Linked DNA regions of Sus scrofa. The protein of the gene in region 1 interacts with the protein of each later gene in a pairwise test. Links are inferred from orthologs where the notes say so. Each region holds a gene or a part of one and is shown in the gene's direction. Other genes may lie near its edges. The genes, in order: APPL2, SUV39H2, RAB22A, CRADD and RAB5C.

What was found.
Region 2: the proteins of APPL2 (region 1) and SUV39H2 interact in binary tests that used the Homo sapiens proteins (3 or more experiments, as listed by UniProt). The link is inferred for Sus scrofa from reciprocal best matches to the Homo sapiens genes APPL2 and SUV39H2.
Region 3: the proteins of APPL2 (region 1) and RAB22A interact in binary tests that used the Homo sapiens proteins (3 or more experiments, as listed by UniProt). The two-hybrid records come from large-scale screens. The link is inferred for Sus scrofa from reciprocal best matches to the Homo sapiens genes APPL2 and RAB22A.
Region 4: the proteins of APPL2 (region 1) and CRADD interact in binary tests that used the Homo sapiens proteins (3 or more experiments, as listed by UniProt). The two-hybrid records come from large-scale screens. The link is inferred for Sus scrofa from reciprocal best matches to the Homo sapiens genes APPL2 and CRADD.
Region 5: the proteins of APPL2 (region 1) and RAB5C interact in binary tests that used the Homo sapiens proteins (3 or more experiments, as listed by UniProt). The two-hybrid records come from large-scale screens. The link is inferred for Sus scrofa from reciprocal best matches to the Homo sapiens genes APPL2 and RAB5C.

Annotation. Positions count from the first base shown.
Region 1 is NC_010447.5:79,408,236-79,411,765, forward strand, and holds the end of APPL2 (DCC-interacting protein 13-beta), read left to right. Parts: intron 1-194; coding exon 195-335; intron 336-1,133; coding exon 1,134-1,181; intron 1,182-2,871; coding exon 2,872-3,006; downstream 3,007-3,530. UniProt on the Homo sapiens protein: Multifunctional adapter protein that binds to various membrane receptors, nuclear factors and signaling proteins to regulate many processes, such as cell proliferation, immune response, endosomal trafficking and cell metabolism.
Region 2 is NC_010452.4:46,897,057-46,901,133, reverse strand, and holds the start of SUV39H2 (histone-lysine N-methyltransferase SUV39H2), read left to right. Parts: upstream 1-1,240; 5' UTR 1,241-1,245; coding exon of another isoform or gene 1,246-1,276; intron 1,277-1,484; exon of another isoform or gene 1,485-1,663; intron 1,664-4,077. UniProt on the Homo sapiens protein: Histone methyltransferase that specifically trimethylates 'Lys-9' of histone H3 using monomethylated H3 'Lys-9' as substrate.
Region 3 is NC_010459.5:58,513,807-58,517,800, forward strand, and holds the start of RAB22A (ras-related protein Rab-22A), read left to right. Parts: upstream 1-1,178; 5' UTR 1,179-1,423; coding exon 1,424-1,459; intron 1,460-2,414; coding exon 2,415-2,494; intron 2,495-3,994. UniProt on the Homo sapiens protein: Plays a role in endocytosis and intracellular protein transport. Mediates trafficking of TF from early endosomes to recycling endosomes. Required for NGF-mediated endocytosis of NTRK1, and subsequent neurite outgrowth.
Region 4 is NC_010447.5:89,477,604-89,481,827, reverse strand, and holds the start of CRADD (death domain-containing protein CRADD), read left to right. Parts: upstream 1-1,422; 5' UTR 1,423-1,814; intron 1,815-2,155; exon of another isoform or gene 2,156-2,404; intron 2,405-3,036; 5' UTR 3,037-3,042; coding exon 3,043-3,340; intron 3,341-4,224. UniProt on the Homo sapiens protein: Adapter protein that associates with PIDD1 and the caspase CASP2 to form the PIDDosome, a complex that activates CASP2 and triggers apoptosis.
Region 5 is NC_010454.4:20,633,698-20,636,481, forward strand, and holds the end of RAB5C (ras-related protein Rab-5C), read left to right. Parts: intron 1-355; coding exon 356-449; intron 450-1,335; coding exon 1,336-1,451; 3' UTR 1,452-2,255; downstream 2,256-2,784. UniProt on the Homo sapiens protein: The small GTPases Rab are key regulators of intracellular membrane trafficking, from the formation of transport vesicles to their fusion with membranes.

The DNA of each region.
Region 1 (3,530 bases):
TTCATGCATGCTAATTTTAGTGATTAATTCACCTTTGTAGTCACCTTAAACACAAAGTAGGCACTTAATAATTTTGTTTGGCAAATTAAATGTCACTAAAACACTTTTTTCATGACTTTCTCTGTGGAGAATGACCTTGTCTTTTTCAATTCCAGCTTGTTGTGTGGTATTCAGTATATTCTTATTTTTTCTAGTTCGAACTTACCAGTGTCACTCAGTTTGCTGCTCATCAAGAAAATAAAAGGCTGGTTGGCTTTGTGGTGCGCATGCCTGAATCCACAGGCGGAGAGTCGCTGAGCACATATGTTTTTGAAAGCAACTCAGAAGGGGAAAAGGTCTTGTTATTTTCTTCACCTTCAATGTTCCATGATATCTCAGTCCAAAGACATTTAAAGAGTTATTTTGCATGACTCCCTTAGATATTCAGTTGGCTGTTCCGCAGGTCTCCATTGAGAAGTTTAGATAATAATACCTTCTAGGAAGGTCCCATTGATTGAAAACTGACTAGAGTAAAATTTCCTTCTGGAAAATACATATCAACCAAAATAGAGTGAATGAAGAACTTTAAAGATGAAGTAGAATTGTTTAGCAGAGATACTAGGGAAGTGTTAAAAGCAGTTCTTAAATTTGTTTGTTTTTTTTAAAAAAAAAAAAAACAAAGCAGATGTTACAATGGAGAAAATTTATTCTCAGTGAGCAAACCAAGGAAGCAGATGTCAGGAGAGTGTATCTAAACTATTCCCTTCTTTAATATGAAATACTTCATGGCTGCATTCACTACTTAGAAGTAATCAAAATGAACCAATCCTTATTTCAGAAAGTATTTGTTTGCCACTGTGTATATGAATATGCAGCGGCTAAATATGGGTAAGAGGGAAAGGAGAAAAGTACCCTGTTAAGAATTTTAAATGATTTAATAACTTTTCACTTAACCTGCATATTGTTTGTACACACAAACTGGCAGTAGGAGACCAGGCCTCTAGTGTTCAGAGCCCTGGTGCTGAGTCTCCTTCAGTCCTCTGTCCCCATGTTGACATGAGCAGACAGTGACTTCGTCGTACTTTCATAATCACATTTTTTCTAAAATTATTATTTTCTGCCTTTGCCAAACACTGCTTTCTTGTCTTTTCCAGATATGTTATGCTATTAATTTGGGAAAAGAAATCATTGAGGTACAGAAGGTAAGGTGCATTTTAGTGCTGGTTTAATGACTACTCAAAAGATTTCTATGCGCGTATTAAGATTTCACTCAAAAAGAGAAATGACAGTCAACTAGGCAGAGTGGCCAAGTTTGGGATTTTCTTCTAAGCATTCTGACTACCAGGCATTTTGGATCAGCTAGTTCCATGGTCACTGGTAACACTTGGAGTTCTTAATATCACTGCTGTAACTCCTGCTCTTTTATCAAGTTTTGGGGTTTTTTGGTTTTGTCTTGTTTTTGCTTGCTACTGCTGTTGGTTAGATTGCCTTTCTTCCAAATTAAGATGGTACAAACTTAATGCTCTAAGGCCCTGCTCCTCGGAGTGGTCGCAGGTCCAGCAGCATTGATATACGTCACGTAGAAACTTATTAGAAGTGAAGACTCTTAGACCTCTTTTTCAGCAGTTTACAGCCTTTCATTTACCCAACAAATTTTTGAGAGCAAAGTCTGTGTAAGAAAAAAACCTGGAATTAGAGCAATAAACAAGGGAGACACACTTCCTACCCGGGTTTGGGGGTGGAGGGCTTCTAGTTCTGCACTATGAAACAGAACTTTCTGCAGTGATGGAAATGATCTTTTATTTATTTATTTATTTGTCTTTTTGCCATTTTTTGGGCCGCTCCCGCGGCATATGGAGGTTCCCAGGCTAGGGGTTGAATCGGAGCTGTAGCTGCTGGCCTACACCAGAGCCACAGCAACGCGGGATCTGAGCCGCGTCTGCAACCTACACCACAGCTCATGGCAATGCCGGATCATTAATCCACTGAGCAAGGGCAGGGATTGAACCCACAACCTCATGGTTCCTAGTTGGATTCGTTAACCACTGAGCCACGATGGGAACTCCTGATCTTTTTAATATGCAGAGTGAATGAGGCTAGTGTGATCAAGGAACTGGATTTAAAAAAAATTTTTTTAGGAGTTCCCTGGTGGCACAGTCGATTAAGAATCTGGCATTGTCTGCTATGGCATGGGTTCGATCCCTGGCTAGGGAACTTCTGAATGCCTCGGGCACAGCCAAAATAAAACAAAATTTTAATTTAAATGCAAATAGTGATGGAGTTAGTGGGATCATACTATCATCTATCAAGGAGGGGCAGGTGGATCAAGGAGTAAGACCAACATAAGGAAAAAATGGCAAGCACTGCAAGTTCACATTTTATGGTATAGATCAAAGTTGGCGAACTTCAGTAATGGGCCAGATAATAAACCTTTTTAGGCTTAACCATCTCTGTTGCATCTACTTAGCCCTGCTGTTGTAACACAAAAGCAGCTCTAGATAGTATGGAAATAAATTGGCATGGCTGTGTTCCATTTAAACTTTATAAAAAACAAGTGATGAGCCAAGTGGCCATAGTTTGCCACCTCTCAGTATCAAGTAAAAGGAACAAGAGAAGTTTAAAGACAACGGGGTTGTTAAGGAAGTTCTTCCCTGGACTCTCCAGGAAGATGATTCTGAATTGACTGTAAATGATGTTTTGGCTGAGAGTTAAAACCTTAGCCTAGTTTCTGGAAGAGGATTTTTTTTTGAGATGCAGGACCTACTTGAAGGCACCCATAGACAAAAATCAGGAGTGAAGCTAGGTTACAGAACATAGTGACAGCCAAGCCAAAGCGGTTTTAAGTGCATTTTAAGCGTTTCTTTTCTTCCTCTTAAACTCCCATAACTTCAGGATCCAGAAGCATTGGCTCAACTAATGCTGTCCATACCACTAACCAATGATGGAAAATATGTACTGTTAAACGATCAGCCAGATGACAGTGATGGAAGTTCAAGTGAAAATAGAGGCGCAGAATCTGAAGCATAACTTTCTTGCTGTGCCTTTGGGGGAAGAGCACCCAGGAAGGAGAACTGCCTCCTTAAGGGTTTTCAACTTCTCTAACGCAGGCACACCACCTGGTTTCAGAATGCTGACAATCACTTGTGGAATGTACTCTTGATGCCTTGATACTGAAACTTGGGAGGGAAACAGTAAGCAATGGTTGACAACATACCCATCTGCAAATGTTATTTTAGGTGCTTTGTGGTAAGTCTTTTTCTTAGATTGCACTGTTCAGCGCTCAGAATGAAAGCTATGAAAAAAAGGCATTGTTCACTTTATTTCATCATCTCTTTTCAGTTTCCAGTATCCTTTTTTAAAAAATGGTAAAAGCCTAGATTTATAATTTGATAAACACTAAATATTTCCTATTAATATCTATTTTTGTATTTTACTTAGCTTTAAGTGCCTGTCATTCTGAAAATTGTGTATTTATAATCAAGCTTGTCTTATAATTGGACCTAATAGCATTAACTTGTGTAGTTAAATGAAGGGCCCTGTTCTTTGAGGCT
Region 2 (4,077 bases), on another chromosome or scaffold:
GGCTGCTTTGAACTAATTTTGTGTTTTACTTAAATTTCTTTTAAAAATCGTTGGTAGACATTAAACAGCTTTCTGCGGAACTTTCGCAATTTACTAGTCTCAGATTTCCGCATCAGATCGTGCAGTACAATTACCATGGACGCAGTGTGTAGAATGGACGGGGGCGGGGTGGGAGTGGAGACCAGTTAGGTCCTAGCAAAGGACCTGTAGGACTTGGCATCTTACAGCCTACCCACAGGCATGGGGCGTAGCCTGGGGGCTCGTCATAAACGCGGAACCTCAGGTTCCAACCCAGACATACCTGATTCGAATCTGCATTTTAACGAGATGCCCAGGGAATTCCCATTACGGCTCAGCGGGTTACTAACCCAACCAGTATTCATGAGGATGTGGTTCAATCCCTGGCCTGCTCAGTGAGTAAAGGATCCCTGTTGCTGCGAAATGTGCTGTAGCTGGAGCTCCGACTTGAGCCCTAGCCTGGGAACTTCCATATGCCCCAGGTGTGGCCCTAAAAAAAGGCAAAACAAACAAAAACACCAGGATGTTCAGATGATTCCTGTACCCATTCGAGTGTGAGAAGCACTGTTCTAGACCAGAGGTTTCAAATTCCACATTTAGAATCACCTGGGGACCTCTAAAAACTCCAATGTTCCGGGTACACCTTTTGCCTATTAAATTTCTGCGAATGGAACCAAAAAAACCCCAAACCTCCAAGGAATCCCAACGTGCAGCCAATTTTGAGAAACTGTGATCTGGAGGAGTAGCCTGGAAGGAAACGTAACAGTGGCTAGTAGGGCTCAGGTGGCTAAGGAACAGGTACGGGAAGGAAACGTACTCTGCACTTTGTAGCTCCGCTCTGCGTTTGAAATTTTGCACGGTGTGTATCAGTAGCACCATGGAAAAGAACTAACAACTGTAGGAAAGCCTGTGGTAAGTGCCTTGAATTAGGCGCTAAACTAGGCAGATCAGGGCAGGTGGCCGCTGACCCAGCCCTACACTCCGGTATTCCGGCCACGGGCTGCTCTCCGGCCAGTTTGCCCCGCCCCTCCGCACACGGGGAGACAACGTGGGGCGCAGGCGCGCTGGCTGTCCCAGACAAGTCGGCCTCGGCTGACGTCAGGACGCCTCGCGGGTTCTAGCCCCCCGCCCCGGCCCCCGAGTCCCGCGCGGGCCGGGCGGGGGCGGGGCGTCGGCCAGCTGAGCTATCCCGTCCGACCGCGCCAGTTTGAATGAAAGCTCCTCAAGATGGCGGCGGCCGGGGCCGAGGCGCGAGGAGGTGAGGGCTGGAGAGCGGCGCCCCGCACTGTCCCCCGTCCTCCAGGCAAACTCCCGAGGCCGGGGAAGCGGGGCCGGGACGCGCGGGCGGGCCGGAGCGCGACGGGACAGGAAGCCTCCTGCCGCGCGGCTGACGCGGCGGCCCCTACACGCGCGCCGCGGGCCCCTCCCTGCCCCGGGCCCCTGACCCTCCTCGCGGCTCGGCCCGCCCGCGGCCCGCAGTCTCCTCCCGCGCCCGGCCCCCGCGAGGCCAGGCCCGCACGCCCCGCTGCCGGCTCGCGGACTCGGCGGTCTGGGTCCCGCTGCCGTTCGGGCCCGAGATGGGCCCCGGCCCGGCCGCGGTGCGGAGGCGTTCGAACGGCTCCGGCGGATCCCTGCGCGGCTCGAGGTCCGTGGGCACACGGGGGGCTCGACTCCTTTGTGCTGCTTTGAGCGGGACGGTTCGCGGTCCGGGCCGGTTTTTGAACTGGGGAGCGGGAGGCCTCCGGTGGTGTAGGTGTGACCTCAGTATCCGAGGAGAGGAGTAGTCGGGGCGGAGGTGTGGAGGCTGAGAAAGGAAAGAAGTGAGGGTACACCCCATTTTGGACTTACTGGGGGGCTTCCGCTCCCAGTTGGGAACATCCCAGGAAGTGGGTCTCGGAGGTTGTGGCCTCCGGCTCATGGGGAAGAGTTCTCCCCGGCGGGAGCTTGCGTGGGAATTAATGAGGTGGACGCCAAGGAGCTCGGTGCTGAACGTGTATTTGTGCGCGCGCTGAAAGACTGGAACTTTCAATGCCTTCTGGAACCTGAAAGGTGTTTCCAGCACTGCGCTTCTCGGCATAGATCGTGGACTCACTGCCCCCCAGCGTGTCTGCCACTAGGGGTTAGTGTGAACTCAAGTTTTGGGGGTGGTCGCGAAACGTTTAATCTTATAAAGGAGTTCTTTCCCTATCTTATTAGAGGCGATCCGAATTGTTACCAGGAGTTTGCAGGTTTTTTAGGTTCCAGTCGTTCTCAAACATAGCATTTCTGTCGAGGCTTGTGTCTTGAATCTGCATAGTACTCCGACTAGATAACAATGGTAGGAACAGCAGACAAACATACCTTGGGTAGATAATCCAGAGGAAGGTCCTTTGCATGCCATCAGCATAAGGAGGTTATCTTGACGCAAAACTTCCTGAAGCTTTTTCAGTGAAAGGATTTAAAGGGTCGTTTCTGTTCTGCCAAATTCCCCTACGTCCAAGCCAACACTCCAAAACAAGCACACTCTTAGCCCTAAATTTTGAAGAGAACAATTCCTTTCACTTTCTTGGTCTGGAATTACGAACCCTACTTCACGGTTCCTGACGGTGAGGTGCCTGTGTGAGTTGGGGAGGGTGAGGACGTAGTAAGAACAGCTGTGTTCTCTCTTCCCTGGAAATTACTTCAAAACAAAAGGTTATCACAACTACCTTGGAGAGCTACCAAGTAAAGCTTGCGTTTACTGATGGATTTTGTTTGGTAATCCCAGTTTACTCCAACCCTCACTCCTTTCTTCCCCCCCCCCCCCCCGCAGTGAATCTGAAACCTAGAAACAGAGAAACTTCTCTAAAGCCAGCCTCAGGGAATCTGGGGCAAAACCCCCTGATCCTCCCTAGTGCTTCTCATAGTCTCATAGCCATAAAACCAAGTTTATGACATCAATTTGTGTTAACATTTTAGGTGCAGTGGGTAGCATGCTATTTACAGGAATTTGAGGGTAAAATCTTCCTCAGCACAGTTAGTTTCTAGCTTCCATTCGTTTCTAGCATACTCTTGATTATGAGTATGTCTGCTTTTCTTCAAGCTTGGTGTATGGATTATTTAAATTGATACTCTGTATTGTCATTCTCGGCTTTAAAAACAATACAGGAATTGAATATTAGAAAACTCAATATACTGTCCATTATTTTATTATAATTCTTGGGCTTATTTACCTTGATAATAATATATTGCAGCCTGGGCAAAACTGGAGTTAAAACTTCATGCAGCCTTCCAAAGTGGGGAAAGTAGGCCATATGATGTATGAGTAACTAAAGAATTATATTTCAATTAGGTTTTATTTCTTATTGTTCAGCTAGGAGAAAGGGGGAACGTTACTTTTAACAATAGACGATAATTTTAAAATATATTTAAGATGTATTTATAGTGATGATTAGTATGTCCTTGAGATCTACATTTTTATTAAAACAGCACTTCTCTGTAGAATACAATGGAAAAGTAAAAAATATCTCTACCTTTGCATTTATATGTAATTTAAAAAAAATTTATTGGTGCTTAGTTGACTTACAATGTTGTGTTAGTTTCAGGTGTACAGCAAGTGAATCAGTCATAAATAGAGCCATTCTTTTTTCCCATTAAGGTTATTACAAACCATTGAGTAGATTTTCCTGTGCTATACAGTAGATTCTCATTAATCATCTGTTTTCTACAGTAGTGTGTGTATGTTACTCCCACCCTCCCAATTCTTCCCTTCCCCCCAATGGTTTCACCTATAGTAACCTTAAGATTGGTTTTGAAATCTGTGAGTTTGTTTCTGTTTTATAAATTAAGTTCTTTTGTGTCATTTTTTAATTAGATTCCACATATAATGCATGTAATTTTATGAAAGCTTACAGACATGAAACATTTTGTTCAGGTGGCCTAGTAGAAACTAATTGACATCAACTAAACATGTTAGGGTAGAGACCCATGAGAAAATCCAAGAAGACCGATTTACCAAAATAGTTCTTTAATGGTTAACTTTTTCTTAAAGACATGTAAATGATTTCTTGTCATATGAATTTTTAGTCTTATAAAATTGCC
Region 3 (3,994 bases), on another chromosome or scaffold:
ACCAGCAGGCATCCCCCACGTGGTAATTATCTGTTTACAAGTCTCTCCCCGGACCCTGAGTCCCTGAGAGTCAGCCTGGTGAATGGTTCATCTTTGTGGGTGCCGGGCTGGCCCAGCCCAGAACCAGCAGGTGCTCAAGAAATGTTTGTTGAATGGAAAAGCAAAGCTTCATTCACCACAATTAGGAACTTGCAAGTCCAGGAAAACCTTCCCCAGCCATCTGCCCTTAAAGCGATGTTAAAGGACAGGGTACGACGTGACAGGAGAAGGAGACCCCTGGAGAAAGGCGGGCGACAAGGGGCTCCCTGGACGAGGCGGAGGTGAGCTTGCGGCCAGGACGCGTGAGAACTCCGCGGCGGCCACCGGAGAGCCGGGCCTCCCAACTGCCCGCCCTCGGGGAAGTGCCCAGGGAGGGCAAAGCGGAGACCCGGGGGGTCGCTCCCCCACGCCCACGGCGGCCACGCCTCCTCCCGCCCAGCACCTCCGGGACTCTGGACGCCGGTCCCCGCAGGGCCGCCGCAGGGGCACGAGGAGGAGGAGGAGGAAGAAAGTGACAGGAAGTCAGAAGTGTCCCAACAACAAAAATCCTCCCGGTGGCGGGGAGGGGGCTCCGCATCTTCGGCCGCCCCGCGCAGAGAGGAGGGACCGCCACAAGTGGTCTAGACAGTTGGGGTCCCGCTCTTCTGCTCCCAACGCGCCGAGCCTAGTTTGTAGGTCCCACCCCCAAGTTCAGTGCACCCCGAATTCTGTGAGAGGTTCCCGGGCAGGGGCGGGGACGCCCCAACTGTTACTTACAATCGTCTAAGTCATCCGGCAAGTCCACAAAGTACCGGGGGAATTTCTGAAAACCAAGAGACACACAAGAAGTTACGAGGGGGCTGCGGCAGGCAGGCTCGGGGCCGGGATAGGGCTCCCCCGGCCTCGCGGGGCGATCACGGCTAGAGGGGAGGGGGCGCCCCAAGAGCCCGGCCCCACTCACCCGCCATCTTGGGATGGGCCCGGGGGCGGGGCCGGCGGGAGGGGGCGGGGCCGGCGGGAGAGGGGCGGGGAATCTGGCCTCGGGCCCCGCCCCCGGGCCCGGGCCTCCCCGCCAGCCTCGCGGCGCCGGCCGGCCCCGCCCTCTCGGCGAAGGTGGCTGCCGAGGTGGGCGGGGAGGTCAGGTGACCCGGCTGGCGTCCCAAGATGGCGGCAGCGGAGGCGCCCGGGAGCCCGCCGCACCGTCCCGGCTGCTGAGGAGGGCCCCGCGCGGCTGGCGACGGACGGGCCGGGCCGAGGGCCGGCGAACGGGCGGCCGCCGCCTAGACGCGCCCCGCAGCCGGGGCTAGGCCGTGCGGCGGCGGCGCCGGGGGATGCTCGTGCTGGGCCGGGCCTCTCCCTCCTCAACTTAGGGCGGCGGCGGGCCCGCGCCCCTTGCTCCCGGGCCATGGCGCTGAGGGAGCTCAAAGTGTGTCTGCTGGGGGTGAGTGGTGACCGGCTGGCCAGGAGGGCCGCGGGAGGCCGGGCGGGCCGGGGACCCGGGCGTGCCCACATCCCCCCGCCCCTTCCCCCAACCTCCGCGCCGGACGCCGCCTACCTGCCCCGGGACCCACCCTCCAGCCCCCGGGCCGTCCAGCCCACCGGGCCGCTCCCTCCTGAAGGTTTTGCTGGGCCGGGGGACCTTCCGCCTTGTCTGGAGCCCTAGGAGTCGTCCTGCCCCCCAGAGGATGAAGAGCCCTCCCTGCCTCCCCTTGCATCTAGGTTAAGAGCAGCTCTTGAATAGTTTCCTACCCATGTACTAGTTAGGAGTTGGCCCAGTCTTGCAAAGTAAAACCCATAACAGGCCTTTAGGTTTTACAAAGCTTGGTCTTTTGAACTTGTGGGATACCCCTGACACTTCAGGAAGAGTTACTTTTCGTGGAGCGGGGGGAGACATTCAAATCAGGAGGCCCCAAAATTAGTTTGCAGCTTAAGTTTCCTGTCTTGTCAAGGCACCTTTGCTGTTTGGGAGCATATCTGAGGTTGATGCTCTCCTGAGTTGCTGCTTGAAAGACTGATAAAGATTTCCATTGGTTTTCCTCTTTCCCAGATTGGGTGGGGCTGGGATATATCAGGGATTACTCAGAAGTAATTCAAGAGTTCAGAGTGAGTTATACAGGTCAGAAAGCAAGTGAGTTTGTCACTTTTCACACTAAGCAGAGACTTTGGGTCTTTCAGAAGGTTCTCGTGTCTCTTAAAAGCTCAAAACCCCTCTCCTACAATCCGTTTTGAAATCTCCGAAGTACTCCACTGAATGTTTATAAAGACTTCCTTGGTGTCCCTTAACTTCTAAAATTCAGGATGATTTTTCTAAAGTCCTCAGCTCTTGGCACAAGATCGTTTTCAGTGTCTTCAAGCAGGTAAACCTTTTCTGATTCACCTGTCTCATTCTCTTTCAGGATACAGGTGTGGGTAAATCCAGCATTGTGTGGCGGTTTGTGGAAGACAGCTTTGATCCCAACATCAACCCAACAATAGGGTAAGAGATGGAGCTTATTGAATATACATGTAAAGGTGTATTGAAAGTCCTTTCTCATTAAAAATGTGTCACAGGGGGCGGCATCCTCATTTTAAACTCTAGTAAATTTCGAGGCAGTGGTTCCTTTTGTCTCAGGAAGGGCTTAAAACCCTCACAGATTGCTGGGTTTTAGAAAAATTGGCTTTTGATTTCGTGAAAACTTCAAAATGGAAACATGAGTTTAAGTTTGTTTTAGAATACACATAATGCCTTCAGCCTGTGACTATAACACCAATTACATCTTGAAATAAGGCAGAAGAAAACAGGTCCTAATAATTTTTTTCCAGCATGTCAACTGAAAGAAATTTTAGGTGGCTTTAGTTCTTTCTGAAAAGTAGTTTATGGTCTTTCTGAACCTTTCTCACACCTTCCTGCACTAGGAGTAATGATGAATTGATAAATTAATGTCAAACCGTAAGGGTTTTTTTCAGGTATCTGGTTCTTAGAATAAGCGAAATTGGCTATAGGCTTTTTGACTTTGCGAAAACTTTCCCGAGTGTTTAAATGTGATATTAACTCTTTCTCTTGAGAAGTTTTGTTTCATGGATTTTAGTATTTTGTTATTGCTGGTAAAACTAAGTAGCTGCTCTGCAAACCCCTGATCACATAGTTTCTCCCATTTAAAGAAATTGTGTTCCGCCCAATTGGGAGCTATGTTACAGCACATCCACACGCATCCGAAGGCGTGACGGTGCCGCAGCCACTCACTTTGCGAGGTGAAAATGCCTTCCAGGACCCTTCAAGAGAGAACTGCGTCTGTCCACACGCTTAAGGTGTGAACTCATCCTCCTCAGGGCCTGCGTGTCACTACCTGCCTGGGAAAGCGAATGGACAGGAAGTGAGAGCAGGGAGAGCTGGCGACTCAGAGAATGACGCACCTCACCCCACGTCAGCGCTGACCACCCCAAGGCTGGCTTGGGTGGAAGTGCGCTCTCAGACGAGAAGAGGGGAGACGGAGGGTCTAGCTCTGGCAGTCATGCGGAGGCCTGGGGCGCGGTCCTGGGCATCCCCGCTTCCCTGTCTGCCAGCCCCCCTAGTCCGACAGGTGCTGGGGTCTTTAACCTCCTGGAGTCCCACTCTCTGCACTGGGTGGTCTAGGCTCACACCCGCAGAAGAGACAGATACGAGGCTTTCCACTCATCCCCTCCCCCTTCCTTCTCCTCGGCAGGTGTCTTCCTCCTTCATGACCACCCCCCACACACCTGAGCTCCGGAGCCCCCCTTCCTCCCGTCTCCCCTTTCTTCCGCCGCTCTGCCTCCGTGTGGGGGCCTGCAGAGGCGCCCCCACTCTGCAGGCGCCGCCAGGGCAGGGCCATTCCCCACACCTGCCGTGCAAACCACGGGACTCGAGAAAGAGAAGTTACTGCTTCCTCAACTGCTGCTTCTCCTCAACCACCATGGTCGCTGTCCCACCCCTACCGTCCCCTCAAACCTCCTGCCCTCGGTACCTCGCTCCATCTCA
Region 4 (4,224 bases), about 10 Mb from region 1:
AACGCTGGATCCTTAACCCACTGAGCAAGGGTAGGGACCGAACCCGCAACCTCATGGTTCCTAGTCGGATTCCTTAACCACTGCGCCATGATGGGAACTCTAGGCATGTTTTAAAAATAGGTAGTTTTATATGGGTTTTTTTAGTTGGTGGTGTTAATAATTGTTTCAGCCTTATCATATGTTTGAAAATTATCAAATTTTACAGTTGGAAAAAATAATTTTTTTTCCTCCCCCCAAAGTCAGTAACCTCAGCTATTGGCATTGTCAGAAGAACTCTGCATTTTATCTGGAATGTTGCTAACACCTGTCCATAAACAGAAGGAGACTCTCTGAGAAAAGAACAGCAAAAGAACAAAAGAAGAAGAGGAGAGTGGAGACAATACCTGTTACTCAAGAGTATCAAGAGTAGAGGTGGCACCAATTATTTACTAGCATTTTTCTGTCATTAGAAGAGCAGACTTTTCACCATACAGGGATGTGAGATGTTCTCTATACTGGAAAGAGCATGAAATCAGACGGAGCGAATGAACTCAGGTTTTGCTATTTGTTAGCTGTGAGGTTTTGGTTAAGACACCTGACCACTTTGATTCCACAGTCCTCACATATGTAAAATGCTAATTATACTACTTTTCACCCAATGTAAAAATAGTGTCACTGGCATAGTAAAATGGCATATTGGTATAGTAACACTTTAAAGTGGTTACAAAAATTAGAACGTTTCAAAGAGGTTTAGAATTGCTTTCCATTTCTGATTCAGTTTGCCGATGTTTACTAGTCATTCTTCCATGTTCAGATCTTCAGTCTTTCTAATAATCGTGAAAGTCCTCAATGCCTCATGACAAATGCCTTTCTGTCCAGAACAGCTCGCGGATTGCTTTAATGAATTCCTACCTGATTGACTTGTAAACTCTTTGTGGGCAGACCCTTGTGATATAAAGGAATGACTGCAATTAGTGGGGGGTAGGGGTTGGGGATGGACTGGGAAACATGATAAACGAATGATTAAGTAAAAATTTTAGTAAGATGGTGATATGTGCTTCAGATAAAATGAAGCTGTAAGAGGGATGGGGAGGGCAGAAGGTGAATATTGCAATTTTAAAAGGCATGGTTGAGGAAGCTGCAATTTTATTTTATTTATTTTTTTAATTGTCTTTTTGCTTTTTCTGGGGCTGCTCCCTCGGCATATGTTGGTTCCCAGGCTAAGGGTGTAATCGGAGCTGTAGCCACCGTCCTAAGCCACAGCCAGAGTCACGCGGGATCCCAGCCGCCTCTGCGACCTACACCACAGGTCAGGGCAACGCCGGATCCTTAACCCGCTGAGCGAGGCCAGAGATCGAACCCTCAACCTCATGGTTCCCAGTCGGATTCCTTAGCCACTGCGCCACTACAGGAACTCCAGGAAGTTGCAAATTTAAATAAGAGTGATCAAGGAAGGTCTCCCTGATAAGGTAACTTTCGAAACCTGACTATCTATTACGTCAATTGAGTACAAAGCCCTGGTGGAGTTACTGTGTTAAAATACAATTATCCAGTGACTCCTTTCCTAAGCGAAGGTACGTTTTCCATCTCCAGAAGGTTTCAGTATTTACCCACAGCAAACATGGCGGAAAAGGCTTCATCCGAACACACTCGGGCCACCAATAAAGAGGGCCACAGCGCTTCCTGTGTTTGCCCTTAACAAAGATGGCTACAACACTTCCTGTTCAGGGCTCTTGCCTTCAACAAAGATGGTGCCCATGGTACAGGTTCCCTGACTGTCTGGATTCCGGTTGCAGTTTGTTCTGTTTTGTTTTTAAAGATACGTGTTTGCAGACGTAAGTAACAGGAAACCAGAACCCCCGTATCCATCTTTTCTCAAAGACCCCGCGTCGTGGCATCTGCAGCCTGGGCCCTGCAAGCCCCCCCACCGTCCCGCCCCGTGACTTGCTCGCGGCGTCCCCGAGCCCGCGGGGTCGGGGTGACGGGGTGACGCTCTCCCCTCGGGCTCCCCTGCAGACCATTCCCAGCACTCCCTTTTTAGTGGGTCAGGTTGCCTAGAAAATCTTTCGTAGTTCTTCCTGTTGTTAATGCCACAGAGCTTGAGCTGGCAGGGCAAGGAATAAAACGAAGTCCCAAACGAGTAGGAGTTGCCCAAAGTGCACACCGCCCTGCTTACCTGCCGCCCCTCGGGGTCGCCCGCTGTGGTGGTACTTTCTGTGGGTGTTGTGAAGCCCCGTCGGCCGCCCCGGCCTCCCCTCTCCGCCACTTACTCTCCTGGCTGGCCCTCTGTTCACTGCTGCAGTGGTCTTGGAAGCAAGCCATCAATGGCCTGTGGACATTTTTTTTTTTCTTTTAAAGGAAACAAACACACCCATTAAATATCCCATGCATGTGTGGCCGTGGCAGTGTTGTGATGGAGGTTTGGAATTCTTCCAGGGAAGGGCTGGAGTCTGTGATTAGGTGTAAGGTTTACTGTAGACTGGGCAGGAATGTTTAATGTTTTCCTTGAAGGCCTTTTCTCTTGGTGAAAAAGATTCTTAAACGTATGGTACCCCCACAGGTTTCTGGCCTCACCCCCACTGCGGATCAGGTTCGGCACATGCCCTGGGTCTAAAGGATACCCACATGGATATCAGCAGTTTCTGCCGTGATGGGGTTATCTCTGATGAAGGCAATGTTAAAATAAAAAGCACTGTTTCTTCTCAAGCATGCTAAAATGAAATGCTCCTCTGTTATCCTCAGAAAAAAATTGCTTTTAAAGTAGGGTCTCTGATCCACTTTTTTTCCCAATCTCTTTATGGAACAAGACTGGAGCTAGGACCTCACTATGTAGAGAGCAAAAACAAAGGGCATGATTCATGCTCAGGGCTGTTCATCACGTTCAGGAACATTGGAAATTAATTCAGCTCGGCTTAACAGCTGCGTATGAAACACCGTGGCCTGGCACTCTGCTAATTTTCAGAGACGTCCTTGACCTTAAGGAGTTTGCATTGTAAGAGCCTTTTTAGGGGCTCATCAGGCATCCCGTGATCTGAGCTACCTTTTGTCTTTTCCCAGGGGCACATGGAGGCTAGAGACAAGCAAGTCCTTCGCTCCCTTCGCCTGGAGCTGGGTGCAGAGGTGCTGGTAGAGGGGCTGGTTCTCCAGTATCTTTACCAGGAAGGGATCTTGACGGAAAACCACGTTCAAGAAATTAAAGCTCAAGCTACAGGCCTTCGGAAAACAATGCTGCTGCTGGATATCCTACCTTCCAGGGGTCCTAAAGCATTCGATGTATTCCTAGATTCCCTGCAGGAATTCCCTTGGGTAAGGGAGAAGCTGGAGAAGGCAAGAGAAGAAGCCATAGTTGAGCTGCCTGCAGGTAGGCCTCAAAATGATCCCTCCAGACCAGCTCCCAAAGTGTTGGAATTGTGCCCTTTGGATGTGAAGTTGGGGTTTTAGGCTGCCTGGGCGTTGGCCTGTCCTGAAAATGGGTACGGAGTTTGTGCTGAAGGCACCTGGCGTTGGTGGGACCAGATGAGGAGGTGGAGCTAGGACGTGCAGCGGGGGAAGGCGCAATGGGCCATGGCTGGGAGGGTGAGGCGGGAACGCAGCGGATAGTTTAGAAATGCTTCCAGGGAAAGTTGGCAGGTCCCTTGGGAGGCATGTTCTCCTCTGAGAGCCAGGTCATGTCTCAGCCCTTGGCATCAGGAGCCATTTGGAAAGTGCAGATGGGAAAGTAGGCTTCAGGCGTCCTGATAACTGATGTGTGGGGTGCCAGAGGGGTGCCAGAGCGGCGGGCCGGAAAAGGTCAGACTCATGAAGGAGGAGACAGCGTCTAGGAAGGCACGCCTTGCACCTGCTCCATGGCCCACCCTGCGTGGCCAAAGGGGATTATTTGGAAGGCTGGCTTTGTTTGTTTTTAAAGGCTGTTGATTTAAAGTCTTCCTTTCAGGTGGGCTTTGTTTGGACACCTGGAGTGTTTAATTTGGTGTGGACAGTGCTTTGGGGGAGGGATGGCTCCTTTTGATTTGAAGGAACGTTGGAAGCTATGAAAAAGAGAAACCGTCCTAGGGTTATCAGCCTGGCTTGTGTCGGAAGGAGATGTGATAGGAAACACTTGTTCCCTCTTAACACCTCTCATGCTTTCTACTTTTTACGGAGATTGAGGAGCAGAAAACTGAACTGGCCAAAAAAAAAAAAAAAAATTTACTTGCTTTTTTTTTTTTTTTTTTTTTTGTCATTTTTAGGGCCGCACCCGTGGCA
Region 5 (2,784 bases), on another chromosome or scaffold:
ATGCCTTGGGTGGGGCCCTAAAAAGACAAAAAAAAAAAAAAAAAAAAAAAGTGCAAGTGTATTTGAGGGTAACTTTCTAGAAGTCTTTCCCAGCCTAGTGGTTTTGAAGAGCAAGAAGGCAGAATGGGCCTAGGGAGACCTGAGTCAAACATCTGCCAGTTTGTGTGAGCTGAGAGGTGCTGTAGGTGAAACAGGGAACTCAGAGCAGGAAAGAGAGCCTTGGGCCTGAAAACCCCTGTATGGTTCTGTTGGATGGAAGGCACTGTAATTGGGGAGGATTTTTATGCTGGGCTTCAGCCCCTGCCAACTGTCAGTGTTTGCCTCCCACCCACTTTCTCACCTCCATCCAAATCAGGAAGCACAAGCCTATGCAGAGGACAACAGTTTGCTGTTCATGGAGACATCGGCAAAGACTGCAATGAATGTGAATGAAATTTTCATGGCCATAGGTAAGATGCCTCCCCCGCCCCCAAGCAGGGTATATTACTTGCCTGCTGTTTTACAGTAGGTCTGTGGGGTCCTACAGATCTGGGGTCTGTTCACCAAGAGATCTTTTTCCATTTTTGATAGTGTGCTGAAGGGGTTTTCTTGTTCGTCTGACGCTCAGATATAGATAGTTCAGGGGGGTGGTGGGTAAAAAAAAAAAAAAAAAAAAAAAAAAAAGATATAGATAGTTCCCTCCAGAAGTCTCAAGCCTGGGCCAGAGTCTCACCATTTCACTTCCTGACCCTCTGCCGAGCGTGCCACCCACCTAAAATTCTACCTCTCCATCCCCAATCCGCTTCTTAGGATTTTTTCCTTTTTTTTTTTTTTTTTTTTTTTTTTTTTGCTATTTCTTGGGCCGCTCCCGCGGCATATGGAGGTTCCCATGCTAGGGGTCCAAATCGGAGCTGTAGCCACAGGCCTACGCCAGAGCCACAGCAACGCAGGATCCGAGCCGCGTCTGCAACCTACACCACAGCTCACGACAACGCTGGATCGTTAACCCACTGAGCAAGGGCAGGGACCGAACCCGCAACCTCATGGTTCCTAGTCAGATTCGTTAACCACTGCGCCACGACGGGAACTCCAGGATTTTTTCCTTTTTAAGTTCATTTGGCTCTGGAGTCATCCTGTGTGGCCTTGAATCTCTGCCACTTGTTAGCGCTGTGGTCCTGAGCAAGTTTTGTAGCCCCTCTTTGCCTCAGTTTCCTGAAAGACCCAGAGCGTGCCAGGCTTATAGAAGCGAAGCTGCCGGTATATTGGCTATCACGGATTGGGTGGTACCCACGTGGACCTGAGGGACAGTAGGGTGCCCTTACAGACACGCACCTTCCCCCCTCCTCTCCCATACAGCCAAGAAGCTTCCCAAGAACGAGCCCCAGAATGCAGCTGGTGCTCCGGGCCGGAACCGAGGTGTGGACCTCCAGGAGAACAACCCCGCCAGCCGGAGCCAGTGCTGCAGCAACTGAGCCCCCCTTGCCTGCCCATTGCCCCCACCTCCTCCGCCTCAACGACCCGACTGGAATCCACTCTAACCAATCGCACTTAACGACTCGGGCCACCACTAGGGGGGGCAGAGGGAGGGGTCCACCGTAATTTCTCCATATCATTTTGATCATAGGCCGGAGTGAGTTATTCCACCTGCACCTTTCTGTACAAATACTAATTCAATTTTAAGTCTTAAGTCACTTTTTTAATATATATGATCTGCTCTTCCCACTTCCTGCCCTTTCTACTGCTCTCCCACTCTTCCTCTGCCGGTAGTAGCCACGTGCCCCCGTTGCCCCAACCCTAGTGTATGGGGAGGTGGGGGTTGGAGCAGTTCCCCTTCTTTCCCTCTTGCTGATTAGCGGGCTCAGCAGGAGCATCCATATCCTTACTGTGTTTGGAGTGCGCTTGGTTCCGGGTGGCGGGGCAGGCCCTGGGGTTAGGGAAGGGAGGGGCCGCTCTCCCCTCAGCTGGCTGTCATCAGGCTGCGGCGCCCCCTCACCCCCTGACTCACAGCTGGGAGAGAACCCACAGCATTACCACAGCATTATTGTGACAGCCACGAACCCATTGCCCACAGCCCCCTTCCCCCTCGTCCTTGGTCACCCTGACCTCTGGCTCTGAGCCCTGTTCTGACCAAATCACGATGATGAGTATTGGGGGGGGGCGGGTAAGGGGGGGAGTGGGAGGGGATGGAACCAACTTTTTCTGTATTTTGTATTGTATGTTTTCTTCAACATGTAACCAATCAGTATCTTGTCAATATAGTCAGCCGATCGATCGACCTCCCGCTTGTCTTTCTTGTCTTTCTCTGGCAGAGTTTTATGAGGCCATATCCTTTCTGTCTTACTTGAAGTTAATTTAAAATGAACCTCTAAATCTTATTAAACAAAAGCTTTCTTCTTCTCAAGTGAGGGGATGGTGGTGGTCATGGCAACCAAGAGAAAGAGGCCAGCTGTTAACCAGCTCTGGTGGGGTGGAGGGGGTAAGAGTGAGCTGGGCCTGAGTCGCACCTAGTTTGAAGCTGAGGGTCCGCATCTCCCTCTTCCCCATCCCCTCCAGATTATATTGGGCCGATGAGCAGTCTGTATTTGGAAACGGTCTCTGAACACCAGAAACACCCTCTCTGGGGTTCTTTGATTCGTCTCTGCTAGGCTGGTGAGGGAATGGGTCCTCTCATCTTCTCCCCTGAAGAAGAAGGAACACCAATGACCTCTGGAACCTTGGACTGGTCATATGGCCCAGACGGCAGCCCCACACCAGGTCCACGCCGTCTGATCCCTGGTCTCTCAGGGGCCCTCTGCTGGTTCTGGA